3 linked regions of the Caenorhabditis elegans genome follow. The protein of the gene in region 3 interacts with the protein of the main gene of each other region in a pairwise test. Each region holds a gene or a part of one and is shown on either strand. Other genes may lie near its edges.

Evidence for each region.
Region 1: the proteins of par-6 (region 3) and noca-1 interact in a two-hybrid assay, tested with the Caenorhabditis elegans proteins (2 studies listed by BioGRID).
Region 2: the proteins of par-6 (region 3) and par-3 interact in a two-hybrid assay, tested with the Caenorhabditis elegans proteins (2 studies listed by BioGRID).

Annotation. Positions count from the first base shown.
Region 1 is NC_003283.11:13,148,543-13,158,446, reverse strand, and holds the start of noca-1 (Non-centrosomal microtubule array protein 1), read right to left. Parts: upstream 5,529-9,904; 5' UTR 5,528-5,528; coding exon 5,360-5,527; intron 5,316-5,359; coding exon 5,177-5,315; intron 5,135-5,176; coding exon 4,959-5,134; intron 4,828-4,958; coding exon 4,747-4,827; intron 4,699-4,746; coding exon 4,601-4,698; intron 4,556-4,600; coding exon 4,467-4,555; coding exon of another isoform or gene 4,423-4,466; intron 3,662-4,422; exon of another isoform or gene 3,521-3,661; intron 3,125-3,520; coding exon of another isoform or gene 2,852-3,124; intron 2,802-2,851; coding exon of another isoform or gene 2,324-2,801; intron 2,180-2,323; exon of another isoform or gene 1,968-2,179; intron 1,664-1,967; coding exon of another isoform or gene 1,606-1,663; intron 1-1,605. Other genes in the region: dhc-3 (Dynein Heavy Chain), read right to left, coding at 5,981-6,181, 6,231-6,362, 6,412-6,544, 6,588-6,757, 7,047-7,505, 7,576-7,753, 7,796-8,005, 8,121-8,260 and 6 more. UniProt on the Caenorhabditis elegans protein: Plays a role in the assembly of microtubule arrays in the germline acting redundantly with ptrn-1 to control circumferential microtubule assembly along the body which is necessary for larval development, viability, and morphology and integrity of the epidermis.
Region 2 is NC_003281.10:5,660,667-5,670,498, reverse strand, and holds the start of par-3 (PDZ domain-containing protein), read right to left. Parts: upstream 6,267-9,832; 5' UTR 6,196-6,266; intron 6,138-6,195; 5' UTR 6,128-6,137; coding exon 5,960-6,127; intron 5,554-5,959; coding exon 5,464-5,553; intron 5,411-5,463; coding exon 5,348-5,410; intron 1,959-5,347; coding exon of another isoform or gene 1,746-1,958; coding exon 1,638-1,745; intron 1,560-1,637; coding exon 1,412-1,559; intron 970-1,411; exon of another isoform or gene 949-969; coding exon 1-948. Other genes in the region: F54E7.6 (uncharacterized protein), read left to right, coding at 9,414-9,541, 9,583-9,832. UniProt on the Caenorhabditis elegans protein: In cooperation with pkc-3, required for establishing cell polarity and regulating spindle orientation in the early embryo. Localization is crucial for recruiting par-6 and pkc-3 to the peripheral apical cortex and restricting par-2 to basolateral surfaces.
Region 3 is NC_003279.8:12,665,472-12,678,018, reverse strand, and holds par-6 (Partitioning defective protein 6), read right to left. Parts: upstream 8,640-12,547; 5' UTR 8,562-8,639; intron 8,394-8,561; coding exon 8,260-8,393; intron 7,728-8,259; coding exon 7,634-7,727; intron 6,704-7,633; coding exon 6,512-6,703; intron 5,765-6,511; exon of another isoform or gene 5,699-5,764; intron 5,663-5,698; coding exon 5,565-5,662; intron 5,496-5,564; coding exon 5,375-5,495; intron 5,325-5,374; coding exon 5,231-5,324; intron 4,171-5,230; coding exon 3,974-4,170; 3' UTR 3,572-3,973; downstream 1-3,571. Other genes in the region: T26E3.4 (RWD domain-containing protein), read right to left, coding at 9,285-9,341, 10,055-10,158, 10,792-10,911, 11,700-11,940, 12,517-12,547. UniProt on the Caenorhabditis elegans protein: Necessary for apicobasal and anterior-posterior asymmetries associated with cell adhesion and gastrulation during the first few cell cycles of embryogenesis. Required for localizing/ maintaining par-3 at the cell periphery.

The sequences.
Region 1 (9,904 bases), on a different chromosome or scaffold from region 3:
TCTAGCCCAGAGTATGCCCAAGTCTTAGCCAACTTCAACAATTCTAGTGTAAACTCCCTCGCCCGAGTCTTGCCGAAGTCTTAGCCAAGTTTTGCCAACTTCTTACCCAAGTTTGCAGATGTAAAGAACGAACAAGATTCCGAAATCCCGCATGCGCAATGTTTAGCGTAAATCGACACTTTGTGTTTTGATTAATTTGTATTTAAAATAGAGGAATTTCATTGTAATTGAAAGAATTCACAGGAAAACTTGTCCCTTCAAAGGCAAATTCTAAATATTTTTCTCTGATGGCTAACATTGTTTAAAAAAAATGTACGAACAAAGTTTGCTTTCTATTGCCACTTTGTCTAATAAACCATTTAATTTATCTAAAAATAAAATAAAAAAGTTATCTTCAGGATTATTCTTCTCCTAGTCAGTCCAATAGTCAAATTATAGTCAGTCCAATCCTATGCATCAAATTTTGAATTTTTCTAAGACTGAACTGTTCCTTTGAAATGTAAACTTTTATAAAGACATGAAACAAACATGAATTACAGTAATTCTGTAAATTCTGAACTTAGAATCATCAGGGAGCACTCTTGAAAACAAATGAAATAAGGTATGTGAGAATACCGTATCAATCCGATATGTCTGATACTTCCTCAAAAATATCTATCAGAATATGAGTACTATATATTATTACTAGTGTGCATCTTTTCGCGCGACCATCATGGCTCAGCAGGTAAGACTTCGGCACAACGGGAAATGCGATCAAAGTTCAACACACAGGTATAAATTGGGTAAGAAATAGGCAAAACTTGGGTAAGACTTTGGCGACGCCTCGAGACGACGAGGCAGTCCCCGACTTTTTTCATTTTTGAGGCGGCGCCCAACTCTTGCCCAAGGTTTACCCAAGTCTTGGCAACTCCTTATAAATGTTTTTATTTTTTGGGCAAGGCTTGGGTAAGAAGTTGCGAAGCCTTGGGTAGGAAGCTGGCGGCAAACGCCGAGTAGGAATTGGCAAATAGAACATGGAAACGTGGCATGCTAGGATTCAAATCATAAAAGTCCAAATTGGGTTTGAAAAGCAGTTGGAAATTATGCCATTCATAAAATCTCCTAACGTTTCATTCTGACATTAAATGTTTGAAGCAAATTGCAGACAATGGAAAAGAGATATGAGTATACGCTAAAACGTCCGAATGATTTACAACTTTAAGATGACAGCTATTGCTGTTGTTGCTTGCCTTGCGCACAACCATTCTGCCGATCGAATGCGATACATACCCATTCGTAACAGACACAGTACCAGATGCTCCGTATCGGGAAGTACACACAGGTGCTGAGTTGTACGCAAAGTTGAAAAAAACCAAGAGTACTGACCCTTTCGGTGACAGCTGCATCAAGATGAAACGATTGAGAATAAAAAATGAACTGTAACATCTCTTTCCAAATTTTAGTGCCAGATGGATAGAGCCAGCTGTCACGAATTATTTTTCAAATGAACACAAAAACCTAACGATTTCATGTTCGATGAAGTAATATTTTTGGTAACTGAGCACAAATTGAAGTTGGAACGGTTTCATAGATTAACATATTTTTCCGGACAAAAATTAGACTTACCAGTTACATTTTTGATAATATTTCGTTTTCCTAATCGAGGGGACGGTGGTTGAAGCATATTTTTAGAAGTAAAAATTCTAGACGGTTTACTTTTTGCACATTTGGAATTGTGAATTCTTTTGTGTGCTGAATGTGATTGCAAATAGAAATAATTCTTTGCAAAATTGTCGAGGACTAACGGGGTGTGGCTTCCCCACCAGCTCTTTCGGTTCCTATTCTTCCTCGTTATACTGCACGTTTCAATCGGTCTATCATAATTCAACTTGTGCGTCTCCGATGCTCGGAGAAGTGCGTTTTTTGTGATTCCTTCAACTCATTAGAGAAGCCCGTGAACCCACAGAGATAACGCATGAAATCCAGAGGGACCGGACGACGTCGGCTGTTTCGGCCGGCGACCACACACACAAACACAAGAGCGCCGACGACACGTTATGAGCAGCCATTTGTCAGAAAATTATAATGAACGTGTGCTTCGCACGCACTTGAGCGCAAGACACAAGAGACGCATCAACGACTTGAGGACCCAATAAATCCACTGGGAATTGTTCTTTCGGCAAGAAACTTTTCAAGAAAACACATTTAGACAACGAGAACACTTGTCGTCAGTGTGGATGAATATCTTCACAATAAAGATACCTACAGTTAGATCAAGACATTGCATAAATTACAGTATCAGGTATACAGTTGCAATATATAATACCTCTAACTAAATCAATACCTGGAGAATTTAAAAACTGACGGAGTGACTGATTCTTCTGATATTTCGACATTCTATTGTCTACGGAGAAAATTCGACTGGTTGATGCAGAAGAAATCACTGATTTGACATCGTCATTGTCAAAATCAAAGTCATCAAATGTTTCATCGTCATTGGTCATCATGAAATCCTTTAATGTTGTCAAACTGGGAGAAGATGGTATGTACGTTTCCGAAGAATCCTCGTAATATAATCGTCTTTGTGACAACGAAGTACATTTTGGTTCGTCGATGTGCATCCCTGGTGATTGAACGTACATGCTTTGAGACATTAACGAATTCAGAGGGTCCGAACTTTTACGATACGAGATTGGAGGAAGATGACTTAGACTTCCATAACCAGATGAAGCAGTCGTATGTCTAACCCTACGAGGAGTACTAGAATTCGATCGAGAAGAATGTTCACTGCTTGTGTTGCTGAAGTAAATCCGTGCACATTCCTAGAAAGTGAATTTGAATGTAATGAATAAGTCTAGGAATTAGAACTCACTTTGCTCGAAAATTTTCTGGGTCTTGGAGAATCTCCATCTCCACTATCCGAACTTCTATCTTTGGGTGAAGGTGGTGTTGTAGAGGTCATTGCAGTGAGCGCAGTACCATACTTTGGACGATCAGGCATATCCTTCCGTTCCATTGAGGATGCTCTTCCGAGTGTTGAACGAATCGCTTTCGACAATGTTTCTCGTACGGATCCTCGTGTACTTCGAGTACGAAGCATCAACCGTTCTCCTAGAGACCCAGTTGAGACGCGTTCATTACTCATTTTGAGTATAATAACAGCAAATCTGGAAAAGAGCGAACAATGAGAGCTCGAGATAATAAAGATATGAACAGAGAAGTTGAAGAAGAAAGGTTTTTCGAAATGAAAAGTAGAGATGTTCAGGAGAAGAAAAAAACCAAAGCATGTATTGATACTTGCCGATGTTTTACACTGATGACAGATATTGATGGATTCGCTTGATGGATTTTGCAAAAATATTCACATCTAATTGTACTATCAACTCTTAATTTATGTAATTAGTCAAAATATATTTGAGACAAACATACTTTTTAAACGCAAAAACAAAAAGAAACTTGAAGTACATTGCTTGGAAGACTACTTTCAACTAGTTGGAAGAATCGTAATCAAATTCAAAAAAAGAAGGCGCGAAAATTCGGGCAGACACATATCGGCAGGTGGTTGTAACGCCCTGGCGTCTGAAGATGTGAAGACAACTGAAGATGTCACAGGATGTGGGCACATTCTCAATGCATTCTATACAACTATTATACCACATTCATAACGCTTTATGATGGAGAATGTCAAAGATACAAAACATCTGGTGGGATACTAACTAAAGTTACATTATTGAGAATATCATTGAAAAATGTAAATTTAATTTGGATAATTATTTTTGAAATATCAAAACGGTAAGCCATATTGATTTGAAATTGGCCAAACTATTTTGTTTAGTTTCAACTTATTTTCTAGGAAGTCATCTTTAAAAAAATCTAACTTTTCGAATTTTACCGAAAGCATGAAAGCATGCAGGAAGGTTTGCAAATTGAAAAATGCAAGAAATTGAAGAAGACAATAGAAACATTGAGACGAGGAAAGGTGAGATCTATGAGTTTATAGGAGGTCCGTGAGCACAGAAAGGAGGAGCAGACAACTCGAGTGACCGGGACAATAGACTGACAAGCTCTGATAAATGACCACGACAGCCGATGAATCGAGAAATGACCAGCAGATATTAAGAGATAGAAGAATCTACGACGTTCCCTTCTGAGATAAAAGTGCATAAACACACACCTGACGTCGATGGGGCTAGATGTAAATTTAATAGAAACATAAGCCTCGAAAACAATGGTAAGCAATACACAGCAGTTAAAAAGAGTTGGACAATTGCATATCGCATAAAAATACAAAATATAAAGAGGTCAACCCCGATTATCCAATAGTACAGATTACGATACATGTAGAGTGGCTACTTTTGCCCACTTCCCCCAACCTCAACCCATTATTAACATTTGTCAACACTTTAAGCTTCCCGTTTTCGGTGCGTCTTAATCAAATAAACATCATGCATAAGGAACACATAATGTTAGTACAAAGGAAAACCTACAACGATCTTGATGTATTTTATCAACTTCCAAGCATAGTCTCTCCGGTGCGACAAATGTAGAATTTCCGTTGAAAGCGACTCGGTTCCTTCTAAAAATGAAATTAAATTATCAGAACTTATTGAAAGAGTTTTACTTTTTTGGAATCGGGCGAAGGGACCCTCCTAGTATTGGTGTAAGCCGTCCTTTCAGTTGATTATTCGTTGCAGATTTTGATGAACGGACACGGATACTCTGTAAATTTTAAACTAAAAAAAATGATTTAATCATTTTGATGCTTACGTCAATCCGGATACTGTCGTCATTGTTGGAAGATGATGAAGGACTGAGAGTTGAATCGTTGGAGCGGTATTCATGAGCTTTCTGAAATTTTCTCTTGAAGAACTCCATTATTTGTTCGAATTTCATTACGACGAGTAGATTGAAAACGAGAAATGATTCGTTTTTTATCGATTAAATCTACACGCCGACGTTTTAAATTACAACGTGCATACCTTACGTGCCTTCACGGAGAACAAAGGAGAATTTTCGTGATTGAAAGGTTCAAAAATTGCACTTCTTGGAATGTGTTCAACTACAGGAATAGGCGTTTCTGTTAAGTTATCCTCGGTTTCTTCTGGAATAGGAGAAGGCGTTATTAAGTTAACGCTTCGACGACGACCAGTGTCACCTTAAATGGAACATTAAAAATGAACGATTAGCTCCAACTTACTGAGAACATCGTCATCTTCTTTCACTTCTCGTGTACCAAAATCAATCGGTGTAGCTCGATTTTGAGATGCAGCGGCTTCAAATGAGACGTCGGAGAGGGGAAGTGAAATAAACTGTGAAGTGTTCAGATGAGCTTCTTCCTGAAAAATAATATTTTAAATGAGAAAATAATTGGCATTATAACCGGAATAGCAACACTCTGATTTAGAGATTCGTCTGCAGCGCCTTCAGAGGAAGATCCCGGTGAATTTTGAGGAGATCTGTTCGAACATTCTGCGGTTCCAGCAGTTATTGCAAGCTTATTTTTATCTTTTTTGTGCATGCAAGTCAAAGCCAATAGTTGTTTGAGCATTCTGAAAATATAGAAACTTGTTAAACATATTAGTTGCGGAACGTAAAAAGAAAAACACGATTTTGTTAAGAACGAGAAACGATTTTTTTTGAAACTAAAAAAATAATGCAAGCGCGCTCTAACGGACACGTCAATTGCGCGGGGCAGTAAATTTTAAAGTGAGACAAGACAAAGACGAGCAACAAGTTTTCGGAGATAAAATGAGTTTTCTTTTTTATTTTCTGTTTTACAAAGTTTGTATTTTATAAAAAATCAGTGCCGTACGAAACGAAAAAGATAATGCAAAAGAAAAACAACGTTTATATTCAAATATGTTGAAGAGCGGCATTTACGTGGCGAGACCAAACGCCCGACTACGGTAGCTGTAATATTTACGGAGAAAAAATAATCATGTTTTGGAAAAAAAACACTTTTAATATTACAAAAGAACCACGAATTCATTCTTTATAAAATTCAAATCTGTCTGGAAGTTGTTACAAATGCGCCACGAAGATGCCAATGAGCTATTGGAAATTGTGAATGAAATGGTATTTGAGTCACTGCGTTCTGTGAAAATGGACAAATAACTGGCAAGCTTCTTGGGTTCCCTGCTCCGGTTCTTTTTGTGGTCTTCAGAAGTACAGTTGTATATTGGGCTTGACGATTTTGAGGTTCCTGAAAATTAAATTAATTGCTCTAGTCTTGTTTAAGTAGTTCTATGTACTCGAATTTCTCCATTCACAAAATGAGCTGAAATCAGAACGCAATGCGACATTTTCAGCAAAGGAACGTCGGAATCTGATCCTAGTTTGGGAAGATCATAGTGTTCATTCACAAATTCGCCGGTCACCATCACCTGGAAATATTAATGGATATTAGAAAATCTAAGCAGAAAATCGGCTCACTTCTGAAATTCCAATCTTATATTTCAAACAAAATTGCATTTTCAAAAAAGAAACAATTTCGGTGAGATTGTTTATTTTTCTTCCATCAACTTCTCGTTCGCCATTTTCCACATCTAATAGCCAACTTCTTGATCTTAAAATCTAAATTTTAAAGCGGAATTATTCATGTTACCAACTCAATCTTCTTAGCGATTTGCTGAGTTGCTCCAATATTCGGCTCAAAAAGTATTTTTATTTTTTGTGTTACTTTCTTGTACATCAGTTCACGACATTCTCTAGAGTTTCGAGCATTGAATCCACAAAGGATACTTTCTTCATGAGATTGCATGAAATGCGCGAAATCTTCCTGAAATAATTTTTATAAAATACTGATGTTTAGGGTATTTATTTCATGCCTATCCACATGCCTATAGGCATTGTAACTACCTATAGGTCTCGAGACTCAAAGGAACCGAAATTTTATTTTGTACTAAGTTATTGGGCTATATAGGCCACCAGTATGCACGTGTATCGTTCGTGCGGGTACGAGGCAGGCACAAACGTCTTCTTACAATTAGTTAGTCCTGCATCGTATACCGAAAACACTTTTTTGCGTGTAAGCCTTAGATAAAGGTTCTAAAAAAGTTTGAACTTACAAAGTTATGATTATCTTCTTTAATGATAGTTTTCAAAAGAGTATCTGCTGGAATTGATAAATTAGCTTCAACAATCCATTGAATCATCGCGCTGATTATATTCTTTTGAACCTGGCATCTTGTTTTTGGGAAGTATATTGGTTCAATAACGTTTACTTTAACTTTCATTAAATCTTGAAATTCATTCGGCTGATCACTCAAATTTCTCAATTCTTGATACAGCTTCATCATTGCCAATAGATCCGCATCATCAACTACTACATTGAATTCTGGATCATAAAGCCGTCGTAACTTTAACCCTCGATGAAATGAAATCAATCGTATTATTTGAATTCTTTGACTTTCTTCTGATTTGTCCAAAGAACTTCTCAATGATAAATTTGCAAGAATTCTACGAATCTGCTGTGCCAATGAAGTCGAACGGGAAAAATAAAAGCGGTGGGATGAGATTTCGATAAGCTGGAAAAAAGTAGATTCAGAAAAGTAAAGTTATTCTGGATTATATGTAGAACAAAATAATACGGTGTACCTCATCAGAAGCTGAAATCTCGTCGGAATATGCAACAATAATTCTAAATGAAGAATGAACAATCGGCAAATTCTTCAACTTTTCAAAAATGATTTTCAGTTTGCAAACTGTTTCTTGATCGCTTCTATTCACATTCAACAGAAGCCAAATTGGTTCATCGACAAGCTTTTCCAACTTTCTGAAATTACGAATATATTTCCCAAAAGTAAAAAGTACTCACAAGAAAACATGATCAAGAATTGAATAAACCCTCCAATTGGCATTTCTAGTCACTTGTCCAAACTGAAGAATTGTTGTGTAGACTTCTGCATCATATTTTAAAAGTATCGGTTGTTTTGGCTCAGATTTTAGAATAAATGATGAAAAATTCATGAAGCTATCCATACTGATTCTATCTTTTATTTCCATTTCAATTTTATCCACTTTGTAGCTGAAAATGTGTTGAGTTGGAAAAAACTGCGTCGAAACAGTTCATTTCATCGAGTTCTAATGTTTTCTTTTGGGATCCCTGTGCTCAGTTGCGCGACTCCATATTTAATACTCACTTCATTCCATGAAATAACAAATGATGAATTATCATTTTATCGTCCCAGGCCAACATATTGCGTAAAAAATTCCAATATAATTCTGATATTTTGTGACCAATCTCACTAAATTTAATGTCATTGATGTGATCGAAAAGTTTCTGAAATTTCAGATTTCCGAGGAGAAAATTAATGTCAAAAGTACCGTGTTCAAAACATTGACCAGAGATTTCAAAGAAATTCTATAGAATGGGTCAAAAAGATAAAGTGAGTAACACATTTTAATAATCTTCATCGAATAATCTATTGACTCTGACATTCTTCCTTCAATTGCTCGTAAAGAAGTTTCGATCTGAAATTCACATTGAATTTGTGTTCAATAATTTTGTAGTTCATACTTCTGCAATTTCTTTATTTCTTGCTGTAATGGAAGCTTGTAGATTTCTGGCTTCTGCTAATAAATCAATTGCTCTCTCATCATCCAAATCTTTGGATCTTCCCAATAAGTCCAACATTTCATTTTCGGTGTCTGCAATCGAAACTATTAATTCCGGAAATTCAAATTCAACAGCTCACTTTCCATCATTGATATATCATTATTTCGAGATTCAACCATTTCATTAAAATGATTCAAAGTTTCAAACCAATTAGATGAACCCATTGTTTCACAAATCTCATGTCTGAGCTCTTCATCACTATACCGATTATCTATTACTATTGAATTATGCAAAGTTGTTTCTGATGCCCTAGTTCGGAAGAACACTCGGAAATTCTTATTCACTTCATGGTGGGCGTTCCCAATTTTAAATACCTATAATTAAATTCCAGTTTACCGGTTTCATTATGTCATAGACAACTCACAATTTCATCTTCCATCTGACTATAATATTCAGCTTCTTCAATTTCTTTTACCATTCGAGTATTTTCCATGCAGTTTTCAAACAAAATCGATGAATTCAATGTTAGACATTGTTGCCTCTCAACTTCTGTCCACTTGTTTGTTACAACGATTTTCTCGAATTTCGATTGTAAAATTTCAAATGCTCGATTATCATCATTCACAAAGCAAATCGGATCTTCCACAAGCATAACCAGAGTCTTTAGATCACATGGAATAGTCACTTCCAGTCTTGGGAATAATGATCTCATCGTTTTGCGGAGTTCTTTCTGAATTAAAATATTCAAATGTTATATATATCCTCTTCAACTTTCAAAAACAAAAACTCACCTCTCTCTGATCAATTGGAAGTTTTCCAAAGACATGTAATGCCAAGGAGGATCCAACAGAATAAGGAACACTGAGAGAATCTTCATGAGTGATATATGTTATCTTATTCTTCCATTTATCCTTCTCTCCACTCAAAGCTTGAACAAGCCTTTCAGCTCTTTCCATTCGAACTTCACAACTTGATATCTGAGATTCCAGTTCTTGTTTCTTCTGACACATTTGACTGAACTGGTCGGATAATCCTTGAAGTTTTTCCGTCACTTTCTGAAAAATAACAAGATTTCCTTAAATTTTCTAATTATTTGAAACATACCAACAGTGCCTTTCTCTTGACCTCCAATTGTTTTAAATGCTGTTTTACCAATACTTCAGCTTTCCTCAATCGTTCTCTTTTTGGCTCCACAATCTTACTTATTTGATTGTACATATCAATTGCCAAAACCCATCTACATAAGCCTTCCGCTGCAAGTGAACACTGTTTCACATTCTCTGGATCAAACTCTTCCTTCGATAAATACTTTTCTCTTATTAACTTTACAGTCTTCTTACTGACTGTGTCTCTTGCAAAACTTCGAAT
Region 2 (9,832 bases), on a different chromosome or scaffold from region 3:
ATTGAGTATTCGCCTGTTGTAGAGCCGATTGAATTGGCTTAGCCGACGATTCCTGCTCAAGAAATGATTCCAATGATCGATTGATAATCAAAGTAACTGGACGTGAAGTGACCGCCGCAAGATCTGAGATTGAAGCACGTACTCGAATAATGGACATCTGATCAACGGGTTTTCCATCTATTGCAACAATACAATCACCAACTCGTATCCGTCCATCTTTTGCAATTCGACCACCATCTTCGATCTTCATAATTTGAACAGAACTAAGTTTAGTAGGTTCTGATGTTCCCGGTAGTTCAGATGATTCATCAAATACTGCATTCACCTCTATTCCCAACTGCTTTTCGTTTTCTGATTTTTCTGGAATCGGTGGGAAAGTGACAAGCGACGTTCCTGGCATGGGACCTTGATCAATTTTCACTCGAATCATCTGACTTTTCGTCTCTTCTGCTGGATTCTGACTTTCTAGTTGATCGGCGATTCTGTCACGAGCATCCAAAAGAGCATCAGTTATCCTTGATTTTCGATCAGAACCTCTCGCAAATCGTCCAGGATTCTTATCATAATGTTTCCTACGTTCACTTTTCCGTTCATCCTGCTCGGCGAGCTTCTTCTCAACTTCTGGGCTCAACGTAACTCTGGATTGTTTTACAGGCGTCGCTTCTTCGGTACGACTTCCTGAAGCTTCAGTTCTAAGTGAGGATCGCAGAATCGGTTGATTCATTGGTTTTCCGTCTATAACATCCTCCGATTGTCTGCTCGGTTTCGGTGTCGATACTCGAAGCCCAGATTGTGGAATCTGATCAAAACTGCTCACTTCGACAACCGAGTCGCGTCGTTCTTTCGAATGTGTTGGCTGTGGCGCAAAGTCTCGAGAATTGCTTCTTGCAAATCCGACATTATATGGAGATGCAGCACGGTGAGCCTGATGGTTGACAGTTACGCTTCCTGGAAATTGGAAATTTTTGAATAAAAAATTTGAAAAATCCAAGGAAATTTTCAAAAAGTGTAACGTTGAAAATTTGATTTTTTTTTGATTGTTAAAATTAATTTCAACTAATTAAAAAATAGATTGTATTTCTAGGAAATTTCAATTTTTTTCTAAAGTTAACAAAAAAAATTTCTGAAAAAATCTAATCTTTTTCAGCATATTTTGGAATAATTTCATTTTGCATATTTTTGAATAAAAATTTAAAAATACTGTAGATTTCAATCCACTACTTTTTGGTAATTTACAATTAAAAATAGAGTTAAACATTATTTTAGTCATTCAAAAATGGTGAATTCAGTTCGTCGTTTTTTTCTTAACTTTTATAAAGTTTTTCAGTTATACATATTTGAAAAAAATTGGAAACGCATAAACTTTCAGCTGATTCGGATAACTTAAATATTAAAACATTAAAAAACTCACCAAAAGCACTCGCAATCGGTGTTGATGGTCCTCCATCGAATTTCCTAGCATATGGTAGAGGTTGTGCATAGTGATGCTGTTGTTTTTGAATTTGAGAATACGTTGGAGTAGTTGATCCGCCATTAGCTTCATCAGTGATTGCCAGGATCTGAAAAATTATAATTTCGACTTTATATATATCTCGTTAATGCTCTTCTTCATCTTCAAATCTTCGAATTTTCCGGACCTGATCATAATTCAAATCAAAAACTTCTTCTAAAACATCATCCATATCGAGAATTCCACCATCAGACGCGCACTCGAGTCGGTGTACGTGTATCCGATCTTCGTTTGCCTGAAAATTTCTCTTACTAACCGTAACATTATCATTTGTGGTGGTCATTTTGGAGGCAGGATAGCTCGGCGGCGGCTCTCGATGAGCTTTTTGTTGCTGTTTCTGCTGCTGGACGATGACTTTTGACGGCGGTGTATGCACATGGTTAAAGTGATAGGGTGGTGGTGGTGGAGGAGGGCAAACGTCATATCGACCACCACGACCGTTATGCATGTGCTGAAATTATAGCCGATGCGTGTTTCAAAACATGATGACGGATGAATCCAAAAAGAGAGAGAGAGAGAGATACAGAGAAAGAAAGAGAAAACCAAACAATGTACCGAGAGCCTCAAATAATAATAATAATAATAAAGAATCTCAACCGGTATTTGCCCAAAAGAGGTTGATGTCCTTCCTCGGCAGTTCGAAAAAAGAGAAAGAGAGACACAGAGAGAGAGCACGGTCATTGCGCATACCACCTGCGTCTCTCTGAGAAGCCACACTATTTTCACCTCATACACTTGCGTAGGTGAAAAAGCGATGGAGGTCTTTCTTTTTATGATGAACGACAATGTCCGTAGAAGGAGGGAATGATGAAAAAGGACTGAGGTAGAGATGGGAAAACATGAGAGAGAGCAGATGTTGAGTTGCGATTAGTAACAAGAAAAGAGAAGTGTACCTTGTAATTGGTACGTGTAAGCCGCCTAATTAGTGATTTTTATCCAGATAACGAGAGGTTTATTGACTTCAAAAAGTGACATTTTTTATTGAAAAACCATTATTCTGAGATTTCAAGCCTTTTTTCAGAATTTTCATTCATTCACAATTAAAATGTCAATCGGTTTCCAACGTAATTTTTTTGCAAAATCCGATGTATACAAAATTATATTCTCCGGAAAACTATCAAGAACTCTCATGATTCCGTGCAAAAAATCACGGGGAAACTGGAACTTGTTTTATGTATGCGAGAAATAATCGCATTATGAACACGATGACAACAAAAATAATGTATTCAACAATTTTGAACTAGAATCATGGGAATTGAAGAATAGAGAATAGAAAGGGAGATGGGAAGAGCCGGCTGGTACGAATCACAGATGTGACGAGGGCAGTGTGTTGGAAATTTTATATTCGTTTTGATTCAGAGAGGGTCAGATGGAACGGAATTGATGTTGTAAAAGGCTCGTTTGAGAAGTCAGAAAAATGCAATAATTTTCCCAAAAACCGAAAAAGCTCACTGTTTCAGAATTTTTTTAAGGTGATGTGTAACGAGCGAAAAACACGAGGAAGCGAACAGACACACACAGAAGGTAAACAAGGTGTACTCAACCGAGAAGCAGAAGCGGAAAAAAGGAAGAGAGCGAAGAATATAGTACTTTTCGAGTGGTCATAACAGCTACAGTACCCATTCATGTACGAGAGGGCCCGAAGCTGCACCATAAAAAGGCATCGAGCACGGGTAAACTGTGAGAACAAGAAGAATACAGGATGACTGTACGGAATGACTCATATCATTTATGTGTGCTCTTCGCTCCAAGACCCCCCAACAAGTAAGCCACGGTGGGGTTGCGCAAGGGCATCAAGAAGAGGAGCGGCTGAGAAAAAATGACGACAATCATCAGATCGAACGACAAATAGAAACAGAAACACTCGGAAGAGAAGGGAAGAGAGATAGAAAGGGGAAGATGTCTATATACACATCATTCCTAACCATTTCTTCTTATCTTCTCAATAGTTGGTAAAATGTCCATGATATTTGTTCTCGTCGCGAACAACAACAACACAAGCTGTTTATCAGTAAAGAAAAATACAAAAACCACCCGAAAAAAAGCTGCTTTCAGAACAGATGATTCGTAGTGGCAGCGGAGGATGGCGATAACATGAGATATGAGTGTTATGACATTGCATGTAGAATAGGGGGTGCTTTATTTCACGATGATGGCGAGGAGAGAGAGATAGAGATAGATGAACAACTTTAAGTGCTGCCAATTCACATGTTCTGGAGCTATTCGGAGGCCTTTGGAGTCAAATACAATAAGTTTGAAAGGAACAATAATTCAAGGTTTTCACATCACAATTTTCATTTTTCAACTGAAATTCAAAACTTCCACAATTATGAATAACGCCAAAGTTGTTCACAATTTTTGAATTGAAATTCAAAACCGAACAAAAACATTCCAAGGTGACTCACCATATTTTTTTAGTCACACGAAAACTTTGAGTTCTGTTCAATTTTCTTTTCGGCTGGGACTAAACACAGCTTTACATGTTACATGACCATAAAAACTGGATCAAATTAGTAAATGGAAAATTTATAAAGTCTGATACGGCTGAAAAAAAAACTCCTGCCTTTGAACCGTGCTCATCGTAATATCAAAAGTGTAGGCGGCGGGTTTAAAACTGGCGCCCAACTTCCTAACAAAACACTAATTTCTGCAATTGACTCACACTTTCTACTCGTACTCCTATTACACAACGTCCAACTATACATTCCATTTGATTAATTTCAAGTTGGTTGTTGCTGCTGATAATGATTATATCGTCCTCAACGTCAAATAAATCTAAATCAACAAAACTGAGAGAGAGAGAGAGAGAGAGATAACAAATCTTAAGCCTTCGAATAAATTCTTATCAGATTTATTTAGATCAACTGCCTGCCTACAGCGGAAAACTTAATTTACTGCGAAACGAATGCTACAACCTGCGCGAACAGGAAGCATGATGATCGACGACGATGATGATGAGGGGGAAGAGATTCGTACAAAATCCGCCATGAAGTGAACATGGTGAGAGACCAATGCATGTTATATAAACAAAAATCTACCAAGCGCGTCGAAATCAATCCGTTTATTGCAAATTGCAAAATCCAATCGGGACGAGGCGACGGCCTCCGGAATTTCCATGCCGCACAGCGTACGCCGATTAAAGTCAAATTCGACCAGAATCCATTTTGGAAATTAATCCCTCTTTGGCTAGGATTCGCTAGTTATGGTTGGTGGTCCAAGAGGAGAAAATTGCCTTCAATTTGTAGAGATTTTCAAGAAAATGAAGCGATCATTGGATATTCAATCAAGATAAATGTTTTACTGCTTAGTAAATATAAATTGGGATGATAACCACTAAGTCTTAATGTTTAAAGTGAGAAGATCAGGAGTAACTAAATAAAAATCCAAGAGCACCACAGTTCAACTCCACAAAATAGTAAAACTTTTTGACAGTCACTTATGAGAGAGAATGAAGAAATATCTATTATTTACAGTGTTGTGTGCCAACAACACACTGTAACACTGTCTGCGTCTCTTCCAAACTTTCTTTTTCTCCAAAGCGGAAAAGGAAGGGGATTATTTGGTGAAAATGAACAGAGAAATGGTATTCAACACATCCTCATCGGTGCGGCCTTGTTCTCAGCCGAATTAACCTCTCCGAGAAAACGAAAGGGGGCTGCTGCTTCTTCGGGAATGGAATAATATTGGAAGAGAATAAGACGAAGATAAAATTGCGTGCTTCTTGTTGATTTTCCTTTCATTATTCCCGACTGACTGTATTCATGGGAAAATTTGGGATACGCTTTTTTGCCTCCAAAATGACCTTTTTTCTGCAAATTTTTGGAGAAAAAAAATTACCATTCCCCTCGCTTTTTTGTACCGAAGAAGTGCTGCGTCTGCTAGTTGACCAACTGTCTGATCCTGAACAAGAAAAATATTAAAAAATTGATTGAACATTTGAAAAAAAAGCTCACCGATTCCTTCCATGGTACCACAATTTTCATTCGTCCAAATTGAACAGTGACTCGGCGAGTTCCATTCAGTGGAAGCGATTGATATTGGCTCTGAAAAATTAAAATATTGCTTATAATTATAAATTACAACCAAGGTTTCAAATATTCAATGGATTTCACATTTTTTAAAGTAAAAAATAATTCCAGATTTCGGTGTTATAATCGAAAAAGCCAGAAATTTCAAATTTGAAAAGGATCTTAAACTTTCCAACTCAAAAATAGAATGTGTACAAAATTCGGATTTTGACTTAAAAATTTGAATTTACAAAATCATTTTAAAATGCGCATTTTTGCAGTATGAAAATTTGCAGAAATGGAATTCTCAGCAGTTCAAGCATTTTTTTGAAACAAAAATCGGGTAGAACTGTTGACAGTTTGAATTGAAGATTTCTGAAGCGTGAATGAAAGATAATTCAAGATTTTTTCTCCAATTTTTAAGAAAAAAAAACTTCCGCACTCTATCAAGTGTAGATATTGAGGAATTCGCGTAACCACTCGCAATTCCGTACTGTTGCATTCGTTTTTTCAGTGTCGATTCACCCTCGTCGCTGCTTTTACAGCTTCCCGATGGTTCGCCACCTTCCGGACACGATGTGCTAGATGATGACGTGGATGAAGCCGACATGATGATCGATCTGAAAATGAGCAGATATAAAGAAAAATTAAATGAAATGAAAAGAAGTTTTAACAAACCAATCAACGTTTCTCCTCCCGAGAGGCTCTCTCGTTTCGCACCTATTTGCTCTGCGAGACCTTTTCTATCTGCAAGAAAATATATATTAGAGTGATAAGAAAATGATTGGTGTGTCTGTGAAGTAAGTAACAGTAAGAGAGAAAGAGCAAATGATTTAGTGTGCTCAGCGATGGAAAAAAGTTTGAATTTAGCGGGAAAACATTAAAATCTTAAAAATTTGTCCGAATTGCCCGCGCCAATTTTAAAAGGATACAAAAATTAGCTTTTTAGTGATTTTATTCTTGAGTTTTCAAATCTGTAATACAAAAAATTCAGCGTTTTAAGTTTTGTTTTTGCGCAGACAAATTCAGCTCGAAAAACAATATTCTGAAAAAAATCGGCCCGATTTCCGATTTCAATCGGATTTTTTCGTGTTTTCAAGATCTGAATAGCTTAATTGATCTTCTGGACGAGAATTAGTTGACGGAATGAGAAAAAACTCAAAATATCGCACATAAATCAATAGACAATCTAAAAATTTGAAGTTTTTGCAGATTTTAATTTTCAAAAAAAATTTCCCGCCATGCGATAGGTCTCGCCGCGAATGCGTACCGTACCCATCTGTTCCGAAAAATGATTACTGTATTTCTCAATTTCACAAGTCTACAAATTTTTTTAAATTTTATTTAAGAAAAAGCGGCCTTAAAACTGAATTCGCAGTCATCGCATTGCTCATCGCATAGCTAAATAATAAATGAATTTTTGATATCAAAACAAACAATGAAACCTTTGCTGGGAAAATGGGAGGACATTTCTGGAAGACAGAACGGGAGGAAGGTGGTTATCCAATTACATTTTTGGATTCTCTCTACTCTATTTTCTCTCTCAGTGCTCACCAAGGATTTCCAAATGTGCCTATTTTATTTCCACTTGGGCAATTTGTCAAGTGGAGAAGTCACACAGAGGATCCTCTAGAGAAGATGATGATCCATTATAATGAGCATGTTGGAGGAGACGAGTTTTTGGAAGAACACCGAGTTGTGCTGGGATGGATTTGTAAAAAAACAGGAAAGACTTGAAAATAAATTGCTCTACTTTTTGGGGAAAATTCAATTTTTCTTGGATTCGGAAAACCTTATTGTCGGTTTGTGATTTAAAATCAGACGCGGAATTTTGCGTTTTTCCAAAAATACGATACGAAAATGTTTTGTTAAATACATATATGTGGGGAACGCTATGAAAATTCAATGAAAATTCTTGAGCAACGAAAGTTTGAAATTACAGTACTCCTTAAAGGCGCAACCCTTTTCGCATTTAACAACAGTTTGTCGTGTCGAGACCGGGTACCGTATTTTCGGCGTAAAATAAACTAAAACCGACTATAGGTCACATATTGTGTACCATTACACTTTCTGATTGGCATTTTCCTAATGTAAAATGTCAAAAAAGAGAAGGTTGAGTCAGTGCGCACCAGCTGTATTGCACAAGAGTTAGAGAGCCATCACCTCATTGCATATGCCAACTTGACGCCACGACACACATATTTCATGAGATGGATTGGAGAAGCAAAATGACAAATTATAGTCGTGTCAATAAGTTATATGAAGTGGGTGCTGTCCCGACTATTAGTTGAGCTGGCAAACGACGAAATGAACAGAGATTGGCGCAGCGGTGCGCGATTGGATATTAGAAAAACAGTGAGTTACCAGCGGAGCTCGCGCGGCTTGTCAAATGCTCGGAGAGCCTGAATGGAAAAGCTCAAACTGAACAATCAACTTTTTGCACTTTTCTACGATTGCTTTTCCGAAAGTTTAAAAATCTACAAGAAAGATATTTTTAATTGCCTTTTATCGAAAAAAAAAGAGCAGGCGAGGTATTGCCATCGACGTTCATACCTCAACTTAATGTCAATGAGACTCATAGGTCCGATTGACCGAGACACTATTTGTGTAGAGGTATGCATGAATAACACCGTCTCTCCTCTCTTCGCCGACTGACCTTGCTCGGTACTTTTATGGGCCACAACACCAAACCGTTCGTTATTTGTGAAAGGGGCCTTAGCGGGCGGGTGATGATGATGACGGCAATAATCATGACACAAAAAAAAGTTGAATTGCATTCCGAATGTGGAAAACTGTGGGATTCTTCCAATTCACGAATGAGAAAGCATGTGAGAACACACAAGGATGAGTAAAGGATAAGAAGGTTATCAGCTGGCATACAAAATGGGTGCGGCTTTCAAGTTCGCTGTGAAAACTTGTCTTTCACACAGTGAACAGTGAACAGAGTTGGAGCATATGATTTCCAGGTTTTTTTTCAGAGGTTAGACTTCAAAGACTGACCCAAATAAAATGTTTTCTCAACATTAACATTTTTAAAATATTGATTTAAAAAGTTAACTCACGAAAATCACGCCGAAAGAGATTTGAAATGTGATAAAACTAGAAAAAATCATAAATTAGATTTACAGAATACCATTCTGGAACCTTCAAAGATCATCTAAACAGTTTCTTGACCGAAAATTTATTTTTAAAAACATAGTCACTCTACATAAAATAAGCTAAACTTTTCTGTACAACAGTCGCCCTGAACAACTATAAAAATATAAAACTTATTTGTTGTAGATTGAATATTAATGGCACTTCTGCATTTCAAAAGTTGACATGTTGCAACAAAAAAAACAGGTGCTCATGTCTTTGACAAAAATTACTATTAATGCTTCTGAATTCAAAATTTTTAAAATAACGTAAAATTTCAGTCAATATCAGTCAACAAATCCTCCAACACCTCCACCAAAAATAAAATAAATCCAAAAAACTGAGCCAAAAGAAAAGAAGGTTTCAAAATCGAGTTTAAACTTTCAAATCACAGAGCCGTATGCATAGTAAAATAGCTTGCGAAGTTTGCAGCTAATAAAAAAAGGCACACGAGAAAGAAACATATGTGAGTGAGAATGGCACTTAATGCGATGCGGAAACGAAGGGATGTACCCGACGCTTCCGAAGGTCAGTAGCCGACGGATTGAGGGCGACAGTAAAAAGAATCGAACCAGAAACAAATAATGACCGGGTGAACACGAACAAGTGGCCTCAAGATGACTCCCTCGCTTTGATGACCTTTATCACTACTCACACTACAAAAAGCATATGCTTCCAAGGAGAACCTGTTTGTTACGCAATGAATCGCCTCTGCGTTACGCAATATTCTGTTTTTGGGTATCAATCGTACAAATACTATCATGACATATTATTCTGTGTTTCTTATTTTTCTATTGAAATTTTCTTCGATTAATTGCGAGTTTATAAGATTTAAACGCCAAGCTGCTTTGGCCACAAAAGATGGAATTGATATTCCTTTTACCTTGAGGTATGCAGCAAATAAAGTTTTTCAAAAATTAATTTATTAAGGTCAACTATAACATGCCTTACACCAGGGATTCGAGAAAACTTATGCCTAGGTCCAAGGGTTCAGGTTTTGAAAGAAGAGAGAATTGGACTGACCAACAGAAAAGGTGCCACGTATGGATATCACAATGGGGTAGATGTTCGGCTATTGAGAAATCATAAGGTACCTCTTATCAATGAAGATACTGAAATTGGTCGGAGTATCGGAGCAACTGTTGATGTGACCAGAGATGATGGAGCATTGGAGGTTGGA
Region 3 (12,547 bases):
ACTTGCAAAAGTGCACAAATCGAGAAAACCAAGGAATAGTATATGCTTGCAAGTATGCACACACAACGAAATGCAAACAAATCCATTAAATGGCGTCGTGGGGGCCCTCTCCCCGCCACATTGGAAGGCGGCTGGGTGACTAAAAAGAGCCCCTCCCGCGCCTTTTTGTTTTCTCTGACCTATTTGGAAATGGGGGTAGAGACGCAGAAAAACATGTTTTTCGAATTGAAATTGCACATTGAGCACTTTGTGAGAAAGGATTTTAATTGTCGGAGGTTTGAGCCAAAAATTGGCAGTTTTGGAAAACCAGTTTTCGGTTTTTCTTCATATTCAGATTGTGAGTCTATGATTTTCGAATTCAGCACTATCGAATTAGTCTAGTCACATTAAAAAAAAATTATTAAAAAAGGTGCCACGGTGGGGACTCGAACCCTGGTCTTGAGATTGGTAGATATGAAAAATCCCACTGCGCCATTCGGGCAATATTTCGAAAATTGTCCAAAAATATTGGAAATTGACCATTTAAAAGAATCTTAAACCTATAAACTGTGAAAACATACATTTTCAGGCATTTTTTAGTTTGGTAGGGTAAAAAACTGTGAAAACTGACTTATCTTAAATTTTTTATGTTTTTCGAGGCTTTTTGCAATATTTTTCTAATTGAGACCCTCTCAATTAGTCTAGTAACAATTTGAAAAAAAAGCTACCACAGTGGGGACTCGAACCCCGGTCATTAGATTTTCAGGGGCGTTTGTCGAAAATCCCACTGCGCCACTTGTGCAATTAAAAAAATAGGTGTAAAAATTATGGTGTGTCCATAGTCTGCGGAAAACGGGAATTTCCCGCGTGCGGAAGCGTCCATAGTCTGCGGAAAAAAAACAAGGAGTTTCTCGCTTTGTTATTGGTCAATTTCAAAATAGTGGGCGTGTCCAACCAATTAGAGGTTGTAAAATTTTAAGCTGAGCAATGGGAAAGCGAAACAACTGCAGACCACGCCTACTTTTTTGAATTTTGAGGAAAAAAAAGCGAGGAAACTCCGGTTTTTCCGCAGACTATGGACGCTTCCGCACGCAGGAAATTCCCGTTTTCCGCAGACTATGGACGCACCATTAAAAACTGCTCTAAAATGTAAATTTCACATAGTTTTTGAGTGTTTAAGCTTATGAAAACTAACAAAAATATTTTTTTCAGAAAATATTAGGCTATCATAAAAAAGTTTTTTTTTTAGTGTTTCAGACATTTTCAGTACAAAGCGCTGTAATTTTTAAGCTCAGATTGTATGAATCAACCTATTGAAACCTAGAAAAAAGAAGTTGCCACTGCCGGGACTCGAACCTTGGTCGTTAAATTGTAATGGGTGTTTGTCGAAAATCCCACTGCGCCACATAAGTTAGTTTAGGCATTTTTAATCGAGATTTTCAAGATGTTTCCGGAAACAAAAAAAATTCAACGAAAAATTGAGCTTCTGCTTCTGCTGATGCTCATCGTATTGTGGTTTAGAGCTCCCATCCTCTTCTAAACCAGTCTGTGTCGTCTTCTGAGACCCCTATGTATATGGTGTGAGGGGGGAGCAGCGACTCCCCCCCCCCCCCCCCCCCCTCCTTTTAAGGCTCTGGCTGGACGAAAAAGTGTGGAATTGGGCGGACACGCAGCGTGTTGAAGGAAGTGCATCGATTTACGAACTCCTTCTTTTCTTTTTCCTCATCTTTTCGTGCATCGGAAGGCTCAATGTGCTTCTGCTCCCCCTCTCCCGCTTCTTCCAACACATTGAGCCCCACCCCATGGTGGGGTCCCCCCATTGTACACTTTTTGACTCTTGAGATATTCAACACGATTAATGTGAGAGATAGACATAGTGAGAAAAATGAGCAAGAAAATTATTTGCAGTTACGGGGGTTCGAACCCCGGTCTTTGGGATTGGATTGATAGGGGGAGCAAAATCACACTGCGCCATTAGTTGCCGCTTTCAAAATTTGCCGAAACTACGATTTTTGAAATCAGCGCACTCGAATTAGCCTGGCCGAACTTTGAAAAAAAAAATTGCCACAGTGTAGGCTCGAACCCCGGTCTTCTGACTGGAAGGCTTTTAGTGGAAAATACCACTGCGCCACTTGGACATTTTTTTTTGTAAACTGCACAGGAAGTGTAAAATTCTGAAAACTACTATGATTTTCGAAATTTGCGCACTTAAATTAGCCTAGCCGAACATTGAAAAAAAAAGTTGCCACATTGGGGACTCGAACCACGGACTTCTGATTGGAAGATTTTCGTGGAAAATCCCACTGCGCCATTGGGACAACTTTTCGAAAATTTTCAGATTTTTCTGTTTTTACATAAAGCATTTTAAAGCTATTTTTACAAAACTATAAACGAAAAGTAAACAAAAAAGTGGAAAATTTAAAATTTCTGAGCAAGAAAAAAAGGAGTAAAAATAGAAAATTGTCGGGAAGCACTAACCCCACCCGGGTGGGGTGTATTGTTGTGCTCAAAAATTTATGAGAACCCAACAGAGCGGGGCCAATATATGAAGCCTCCCCTCTCTCTCCTCGCTGTTGGGGTCCTAACGGCCGCCGAAAAAAAAAATAGTGAGTGAGAAGTGGAGCGTTGTGGAAAGGGATTTGAGTGTTCTCGACTTCTCGTGTGTTTACGAGCGACGTGTTGCAAATTTTGACAAACTGACTGACATGTGTCACTGGGGCAAACTGACCGGAAAATGAGTGTGTAAGAGAATTATCACCTGAAAACACGCCGGATTTCAGAGGTTTTAAGTTTGGAAGTTGCTTTCAAACTCGTTTAAATACGAGTATAAAGGCAAAATTTTGAATTTCAAACTGTTTTTCAGAAATTTGTCCGAGTGGCTCAGTGCGATTTTCGACGGCTACCACTCACAAGACCAGGGTTCGAGTCCCCATAGTGGCATATATTTTTATTAGAGTGTATATGACTAATTCAAGAGCGCTGAGTGTAAAAAACAATGTTTCCCAAGCTGAAAAGTGTAAAAATGTCGGAAAACTACGAATTTTCTCATTCTTGTAGGAAATCAACTGAAACTTCAGATTTGCACAGATTTTATAACATTAAATCATCAAAAAATCACTCAAAGGTAACATTTTATTACAGACTTTTCATTACTGGGCACTTTTCAAAAATGCTGTACAAATGGCGCAGTGGGATTTTCGACGAAAAAGCTTCCAGTCAAAGGACCGTGGTTCGAGTCTCCACTGTGGCAAACTTTTTTCCATAGTGTTGTTAGGCTAAACTTTCAATTCTCAACCCAAAAATTATAATATCAATTCCTAAACAGCAGAGAAAAACCTTGAAAAATAAGAATTTGAGAATAATCAGCGGAATATCGGCTGAAAATGTAGATTTTCTCAGTTTTTAAAGCCTTAAATCGTCAAGAACTCAATAAAATTCAAATTTACCCGAAATTATGTCATTTCTGGGAAATTGTCAAAAATGTCCAAATGGAGCAGTGGGATTTTCGACGAAAAAGCTTCCAGTCAAAAGGCCATGGTTCGAGTCCCCGTAATGGCAACATTTTTTTCACAATGCTGATCTCTCAAAGCTTGAAATAAATAATTTATTCTCACTAATAATGTGAATTTCAGGGGAAAAATTGTATGTCGTGTCTGTTGTCAAAAAATTTGAGCCAAAGTTCGAAAAAAAAAGTATGGGCTCAGAGAGCTCTGAAGGGGAAAAATCACATAAAAAGGGCGAAAGGAAGGCACATTTTGGGGCGAGAAACGGGGGAAATAAAAGTGAAAATTGTGCGCAAAAAAGTGAAGAGAAAGCCGACAAATTTGATTAAAAATTAGGAGAAAAAGGGGAAAATAAATAAATTAAGCGGTTTTGGTTGTGTGTGTGTGTGGTTTTAGCGAGAATATAAATAATATAATTATGTATAAAAATGGTCACATTTTGTGGTTTTTTTTTCTGAAAAAATCGAGGAAAAATGGCTGAAAAGAGTTTTTCAGTCCTCTCCACTGTCCGAATCATTTGCGTCGTGCTGTTTCGGATGATAACTGCCGTCGGAGCTTCCGTTCATTTTCATCGGGCGCTGAATTCCACCTGTAGCGGCTGCGGTGGCGGCCGACATCTCACTGGCGTTCGGTGTTCCTTGTTGTGACGGTCCTCGTGACAGTGTGTTTCGTTGGTTGGCAGGTTTTACTGGAAAATATTGGGATTTTTTGAATTTTCAAAAAAAAAATAAATTTGAAATTTTTTTTTCGAAAAAAAATTTCTGAAAATTTTGTTTTTTATAATTACTACAGAATTTAAAATCAGCTCGCTGAGAGCTTCCAAACAAGTATAATCATGACTAGGCTATGTTTATTTTGAACATTTTCCGAAATTTTGGGTCCCGCCACGAAAACTGGGTTACTGTAGGTTGGGATTTTAGTGGGGGACCCAGTTTTCGCGATTTCATTTAGATTTTTCGATTTCAGCTTACCGAGCTTTCAAATAAGTATAATTATGACTAGGTTGGCGGACATTTAAAATTTTCCAAAATGTTGGGTCCCACCGCGAAAGCCAATTTCGTGGTCGTGCCCCAAAATTGAAATTTTAGATTTTTGTTAAATAATTCAACTTCCGCTCGCCTAGAGCTTTAAAATAAACATAATCAAGACTAGGTTATGCGAAATTTTAAATTTTCGGACCCCACCACGAAAACTGGGTTACTGTAGGCAGCGATTTTCGTGGTGATACCCAATTTTCGCTATTTCAATTAGATTTTTCGATTTCATCTTACCAAGAGCTTCAAAACTAGTATAATAATGACTAGGTTTGGCGAAAATCTAATTTTTTCCAAAATTTTGGGTCTCATCGCGAAAATCAGTTTCGTGGTCGGGCCCAAAAATTGAAACTTCTCAAATTTTTTAGTAAATTCGTTTTCAGCTCATCAAGGGCTTTCAAATAAGTATAAACACGACAAGATTGCGTCACATGCGAAAATTTTGGGTCCCATCGCGAAAATGGGTTACTGTAGTTTATCATTTTCTTGGCGAGACCCGAATTTTCCAAGTTTGACAGAATATAGCCATGATTATACGCATTTGAAAGCTCTCGGTGTGCTGAATTCAAATTTTCTAATGAAATTTTTTAAAAAGTGGGTTCTCGCAATTTTCGCGGTGAGACCCAATTTTTTTCAAAATAATCTTAACCTAGTCATGATTATACTTATTTCAAAGCTCTCGGCGTGCTGAATTCAAATTTCCGGATTATATACCAGTAATAATCAAGTTATGAGCATTGGCGACCATCATATCAGTGACCTGATCCAGCGTCTTTCCGAGAACCTCAATTCCATTCACCTCGAGCACCTGAAAACCGGAATTTTTAGATTAAAAACTCTGAAAATTCCATTAAAAACCTCGTCATTAACACCAAGAAGGCCTGTGGACTCGGCGAGCCCACCATCGACAAGCCGGGAAATGAAAATTCCTGAAACTTTGACGACGCCTCGTTCTGTCACTCGAACCGATGTTCCGTCACTGAAAAAAGAATTGCAGATTTTTGGGATTTTCTGGCAAGAAATCTGAAATTTCCAGAAAAATCGATACCGAATATAGAATCCAAGTGGTCGTTCTTGTCCGTGCTTGCAGAGACGGACACGGCGATGAGCTTCTGGCACAATGTCCACGTCGATGATTGCAGAGACCTGCAAAATTGAAAATTTTTAAAAATTAATGGGAAATTTGAATTCAGCTCGTTAAGGGCTTCAAAATAAGTATAATCATGACTAGGTTTTGCCAATTTTGAAAATTCTCCTAAAATTTGGGTCCCGCCACGAAAAGTGACGAAATTTTAGAAAATTACTGCGAAATCTGAATTCAGCTCACTGGGAGCTTTCAAACAAGTATAATGGAATGACTAGGTTCCGCGAACTTTGAAAATTGTTGGTCTCGCCACGAAAATGGGATTACTGTATGTTGGCATTTTCGTGGTGGTGGGATCCAATTTTTGAGATTTTTATCAATATTTTTGAATTGGGAGCACTGTCAGCTTTAAAACTAGTATAATCATGGGTTCCGTTAACTTTGAAATATGCGGGTCCCACCGCGAAATTGGGGTTACTGTAGGTTGGCACTTTCGTGGCGGGACCAGATTTTTGCAATTTCATGAGTTCAACCGAATTCAGCTCACCGAGAGCTTTCAAATAAGTATAATCATGACTGGGCTCCGGAAAATTTGAAGATTTCCAAAATTTTGGGTCCCGCAGCGAAAATTTCCTTCGTGGTGGGACCAAAAATTGAAATTTTCAAAATTTTTTCCGGAATTTGAATTCAACTCATCAATAGCTTTCAAATAAGTATAATCATGACTAGGTTCTGCGAAATTTGAAATTTTTGGGTCCCATCACGAAACGGGATTACTGTGGTTTCGATTTTTCGTGGCGAGACCCAACTTTTTTCAAATCCATCGTAACCCGGTCATGATTATACTTATTTCGAAGCTCTCAGCGAGCTGAATTCAAAAATTCCACTTTTTTCGCTGTGAGACCCATTACCTGTCGAAAATCTTCGGGATTCGAGATTGAATAACTGCGTTTCGGTGGTTTTTGTGCCATAAGTGATGAAATTCCCTTCCATCGTTTATCAGAGTCTGTACCATAACCATATTTCTCTTCCCATGATTCACCGCGGCGTTGAATGAGCAAACGGAGCAGTGGGCGAGCCGATTCGAACGATTTTCGGAGGTTCTGCAAAAAAAATAATGGTAGTTTTGGGATTTTATCGATTTTTGGGATTTTTCTAGGAATTTATCGATTCTTTTTGTGATTTTTATTGATTTTTTGGGGATTTTTTACCGAATTTTTGTGATTTTTCAACAGATTTTTATCGATTTTTTATCGATTTTTTCCGATTTCTTGGGGTTTTGTATTGATTTTTTAAAGCGATTTTTGAGTTTTTTTGTAATTTTTTATCGATTCTTTTTGTGATTTTTATTGATTTTTTGGGGATTTTTCACCGAATTTTTGTGATTTTTGTTTCAATTTTTTGAGACTTTTTTCGATTTTTTTAAATCAATTTTTTGTAGTTTAGGACTTTTTATCGATTTTTTAAGATGTTTAGTGATTTTTTAGCGAAATTTTGTGATTTTTATCGATAAGTGATGTTTTAGTAATTTTCAGCATTTTTTAGTGAAAAATATCAATTTTAGGTCATTTTTACTCGATTTTTCTCGATTTTTTCACCGAAAAAATCAATTTTCTTCAGTTTTCCCTACTAACATTCAGATTTTTATAGACTTTTTATCGATTTTTATCGATTTTTTTTTGAGATTTTTATCGATTTTTTGAGTTTTTAAATCAATTTTTAATTGATTTTTTGTGATTTTTTTCGACTTTTCTGTGAGTTTTCAAATCGATCGATTTTTTGTCCTCGTAGGAGACACCCGAATATTAAATCGATTTTTTTATTATTATTATTTTTATTTTTTAACGATTTTTGAGCTGTTTTAAAAATCGATTTTGACTAACTTTAAGCTGAAAAAATCAATTTTCGAGACATTTTAATTGAATTTTTAGCATTTTTTAGTGAAAAATATCAATTTTATGTCATTTTTACTCGATTTTTTCGTTTTTTTTTTCACTGAAAAAATCAATTTTCTTCAGTTTTCCGCTACTAACATCGTCATTTGTGATTGGTAGAAGATCACCGCCAGTCGAGTTGTAGCACAGTGTGAATTGGACACTTTCCAGGTGATGAAGCTTCTCGACAAGGCTGAAAATATCGATTTTTACTTGAAAAATTGAACTTTTACGGGAAAATTGCTTCAAAAATCGAGTTTTCAGGTAAAATATCATTTTCCGCTCGTTTTTGGTAAAAAAAAACACAAAAAAAAAGACGAATTTTTCGATTTTCCGGCTGAAAATGGCGAAAATTCGATTTACGCATGATTTTAGCCCTAAAAATGCCGATTTTGGCCAAGTTTGGTTTGGAAAATAGATTTTTTAGGGTTTTCAAGGTAAAAATCGGAAAAAATCTGATTTTTTCAAGTAAAAAAAATCATTTTCCGCGTATTTTAGGACAAAAAACGCCGAATCCTTGGATTTTTCAGCTGAAAATCGTTGAAAATCCGATTTTCTGAATTTTAAGGGATTTTATGCCTAAAAATGACAATTTCAGTAACTTTTGGGTAGAGAAATCAATTTTTAACGTTTTTCTACGTCAAAAACATGGGTTTTGACGTATTTTAGGTAAAAAAAAAACGCTGAATTTTTCGATTTTTCGGCTAAAAATGGCCAAAAATCACCTCCGGAACCCATCGTAAGAGACACCAGACGCAGAATGCATTGGTATTGAGAAACGACGCCATTCAGAATCAAATTTCGATTTGACTTGAAGTGTTGAATGATGATTTTGATGGTAGGAGCCGTTGTAGGACATCTGAAAATTTGGATTTTTCGGGTTTTTTGAGCTGAAAAACGCGATTTTTAACAGTTTTCAGCTGGAAAATTGGAAATTCCGGCTTTTTTTGAGTAGAAAAATCGCATTTTTCGACGTTTTCCATACTTTTAAGCTGAAAAATTATGATTTTCGCAAATTAAAACTCACAATTACAAGTTACAGGTGCAGCTCCGCGTTGAGCCGGAAATAATGCACAATTTTCGTGGGAAATATCGATTTTTTCGGCTGAAAATTGGATTTTTTCACATTTTTGAACCTTTTTTAAGTGAAAAAATTATTAAGTGAATAATTTTTGAATTTATTAATCAAAAATCGGATTTTAAATAATTATTCAATGGAAAAAATTGAATTTTAATTTAAAAGTTAGAGTTTTGAACAGTTTTCAACGGAAAAAAAAACTGAATTTGAGTTGGAAAATAGACATTTTTAGGAAATTTGAGTAGAAAAATTGAATAAAAATTCCAAAAAATGGCAATTTTGAACATTTTTCTAGCGGAAAATGAAATTTCAAGCTAAAAATCGCATTTTTTGCGATTTTTACAAAAAAAACCTTCAAAACACCAAATTTCCGCTGAAAATTGAGTAAAAATGAGTCACAAAACTCTCCAAAAAAGTTTGATAAAAACTGATGACTCATCGCCAAAAATTTTCAATAAAAAATCGATAAAAAAGCTGATAAAAACAGCGAAAAATTCAAAAAAAAAGGTTAAAACTAAAACAAATCTTTACGCAAAAAAATGGAAAAAATTGAAACGAAAAACCGTGAAAATCAACAAAAACTGGGGGGCAAAAAAATGGATAAATTACGGGATTTTTCGCCGAAAAAATGGCGAAAAATCACAGAAAAATGCAATAAATTGAGGGGAAATCCTATTCTTCATCGTCTTCTTCTTCTTCTTCGGAATCCATTTCAAGACCTTCGAGTTCCTGGAAAAAATGGGTTTTTTTGAGTGGAAATTTGAGATTTTTTGGGGTTTTTTAGGCTAAAAAATGGGATTTTTGGAGGTTTTTTATGTTGAAAATCGGAAAATTTGATCATTTTAGGCAGTAAAATCGAATTTTCATCTTGAAATTAATCAATTTTATGAGAAAAACTCGAAATTTCGAACAATTTTTGGAATAAAATTGCAATTTTTCGCGTTTTCAAGTAGCTTTTCACTGAAAAATGTGGGAATTTTGGCGTTTTTTCCATAGAAAATCGGAATTTTAGTGAGAAAATTTCAATTTTTTGATAGAAAATATGAAGTTTATCACAAAAAATTCACTTTTAAAGTGGAAAATCGTGAATTTTCAGCCAAAAATGCCAAATTTTGTAAATTTTGAAGCTTTTTCTTCGGAAAAATCCAGATTTTTTGCATTTTTTTTAGCTCAAAAACAGAGTTTTCCATGGAAAAATAAATTTTGAGTAAAAAATGTCTAATTTTTCAGTGAAAAAATGGGGATTTTAGCGAATTTTTACATTTTTCCAGGTTTTAAAAGGGAACGTTTCAAAAAAGAAAAAAAAATTTTCGGATTTTCACCGAAAAAAACTCGAAAATCGACAATTTCCAATGAATTTGCATGTTTTTCATGCAATTTTTTAATAGAAAATCGTAAATTTTCAGTAAAAAATCGATTTTTCAGTGGTTTTTTCCAGAAACCTCATTATCAAAGAGGCTCTCATCAATTTCGACTTCATCTTGTGCTCCAATAAGTGTGACGTCAGAGAGATTGAGTGTAGCGTCACGAAGGAATAGTTGACGTCCTGGAAAATATTGGTTTTTTTTGAAATTTTCAGCGATTTTCAGACGGAAAATCACATTTTTTGTGAGATTTGGAGCCAGAAAATGGGATTTAAATGAATTTTTCGCCTGAAAAAGTTCAAAATTTCGATAATTTTGGCGTAGAAAATCGCAAGAATCGGGATTTTTATGATTTTTTCCACTAAAAAGACGGAAAATAGCATTTTTTCGGGATATTGCGAGTTTTTTTGTGAATTTTTCTGAAAAAATGGGGATTTTCCGATAATTTTAACTGCAATTTTCTTCAATTTTCCAATTTTCCGGTTAAAAATCTCTGGTTTTTTACGTTTTTTCGGTTGAAAATTGCACTTTTTAACCATTTTCATGCGTAAAATAGCCTTTTTCTTTGATTTTTAACTGAAAATCTCGAATTTTTTGCATGAAAACCGCCAATTTTTACGTTTTTCCAGGCGGCAACTTGCAATTTTTGGGGTTTTCCGCCCTAAAATCCTCATTTTTCCGCCATTTTCCATGTTAAAAATCGCGATTTTTACAGGTTTTCACTGAAAAATCGCAATTTTCAACGTTTTTCATGGAAAAACTGCGATTTTCTTCAATTTTCCGGCTCTAAAATGCTCAATTTCACAGCTTTTCACCTGTTAATCGTCCAGCCAACGATGCCAATCGTTCTTTTTCAGCTGCATCAATTTCAGCTTTCCGTTCCTCATCAAATCTGTCCTTCCAGGCTCGGAATGTGTCCGGTGTCACTACAGTACCTGGAAAATTTGGAGATTTTTGGCCATTTTATAACATTTTCTTGAGTTTTTGAGACATTTGTTCAGATTTTTCAAGGCTTTTAGGACATTTTTCAAAAAATTCGAGCAATTTTGAGTGCTTTTGGAGCATTTTTCTCGAATTTTTTGTACTTTTATAGCCAATTTCGCGAAATTTTGTGGAATTTCAACATTTTAAGCACTTTTCCCTATGAATTTTAGGTCTTACAGCGAAAAATTTAGATTTTTACAAATTTTTCCGTATAAAATCGTAAAATTCGAAGATTTTTCACAAATTTTCACCGATTTTTGTAAATTTTCGGCATTTTCTGGTATTTTCAGCTGTTTTTGCGCAATTTTCCCGCTAATTACATGAAATTCGGTGATTTTTGGCCGTTTGGGCGCGTTTTCAGCCCATTTTTGCCGAATTTTCGGCACTTTCATGCTATTTTTGATGAATTTCAGCTCAAAATTCGTTTTTTAGCGATTTCGATGAAGAAAATCGTGAATTTTCCTATAAAAATTTAAAAATTTCACTGAAAATCGGTGATTTTTCGAGTTTTAAGCGGTTTTGAACGTATTTATATGAATTCCGCTGTTTTTCGACAATTTTCAGCAAATTTTAGCGGATTCTAGACGAAAAAATTGAATTCTGTGGGGAATTTAAGCTGAAAATCACTTTTTTTGCAATTTTTCAGGGATTTTTTCCTGTTTTTGGGGATTTTCAGTGTCTTTTGATCAATTTTTGTCCATTTTTCTCCGATTTTTACAGATTTTCAACCATTTTTTACCCTCAAATTTCTTGCGGCTCTCGGCTTCTTTTTTCTCTTTCTCAATTTCGACTTTTTCCTCTTTTGCACGTTTTTTCACATCAACAAGCTCTCCAATTTCATCTTGAAGTGCTGAAACAATTGCAAAAACCATAACCATTCCGAGATTTTCTTCGGCAACAGAACGTAATTTATCGATTGATTCGGCGATTCGTTCGGCTGTGAATGCATCTTCAATTCCATTCAGAGTTATTATTGGAATCTGGAAAAAATTGGGGATTTTTAGGGCAAAAATGGCTTGAAAATGAGGATTCTGATGGGGAAAATCTGAAAAAAAAACAGGGAAAATTGAGATTTTCAGCAATTTTCAGCCTAACAATGGCTTGAACTCATGGTTTTTAGAGCAAAATTGGCTTAAAATTAGACATTTTCAGCAAATTTCTGAAAAATAGGTTACTTTTGGGCGTTTTTAGCCATTTTTAGCACAAAAAATCGACAAATCGGATTTTCGGCTGATTTCAGAGAATTTAACCGGTATTTTTGCTTTTACTGATTGCAATTAGTGAAAACCGTCAATTCTTATCCTTAAAAATGTTCCTAGTGATTTTTTCCTAAAATTTCTCCTAATGATTTTTCTGTATTTTTCAAGCAATTTTGGTGGTTTTCTACTCTTTTGAATAATTTACGAGATTTTCCAGCTTTTTCCAGTCTAAAATCGCATTTTCTCAGATTTTGCCGGTCATTTTAATCGGTTTTTCTATTTTTTTTCCAGTAAAATTCAGTTTTTCAGATTTTCCTCTTGAAAATCGATTTTTCGGAGCTTTTTCCTGGATTTTACCTCATCTGGATAATTTTCGGTAAATTCGATG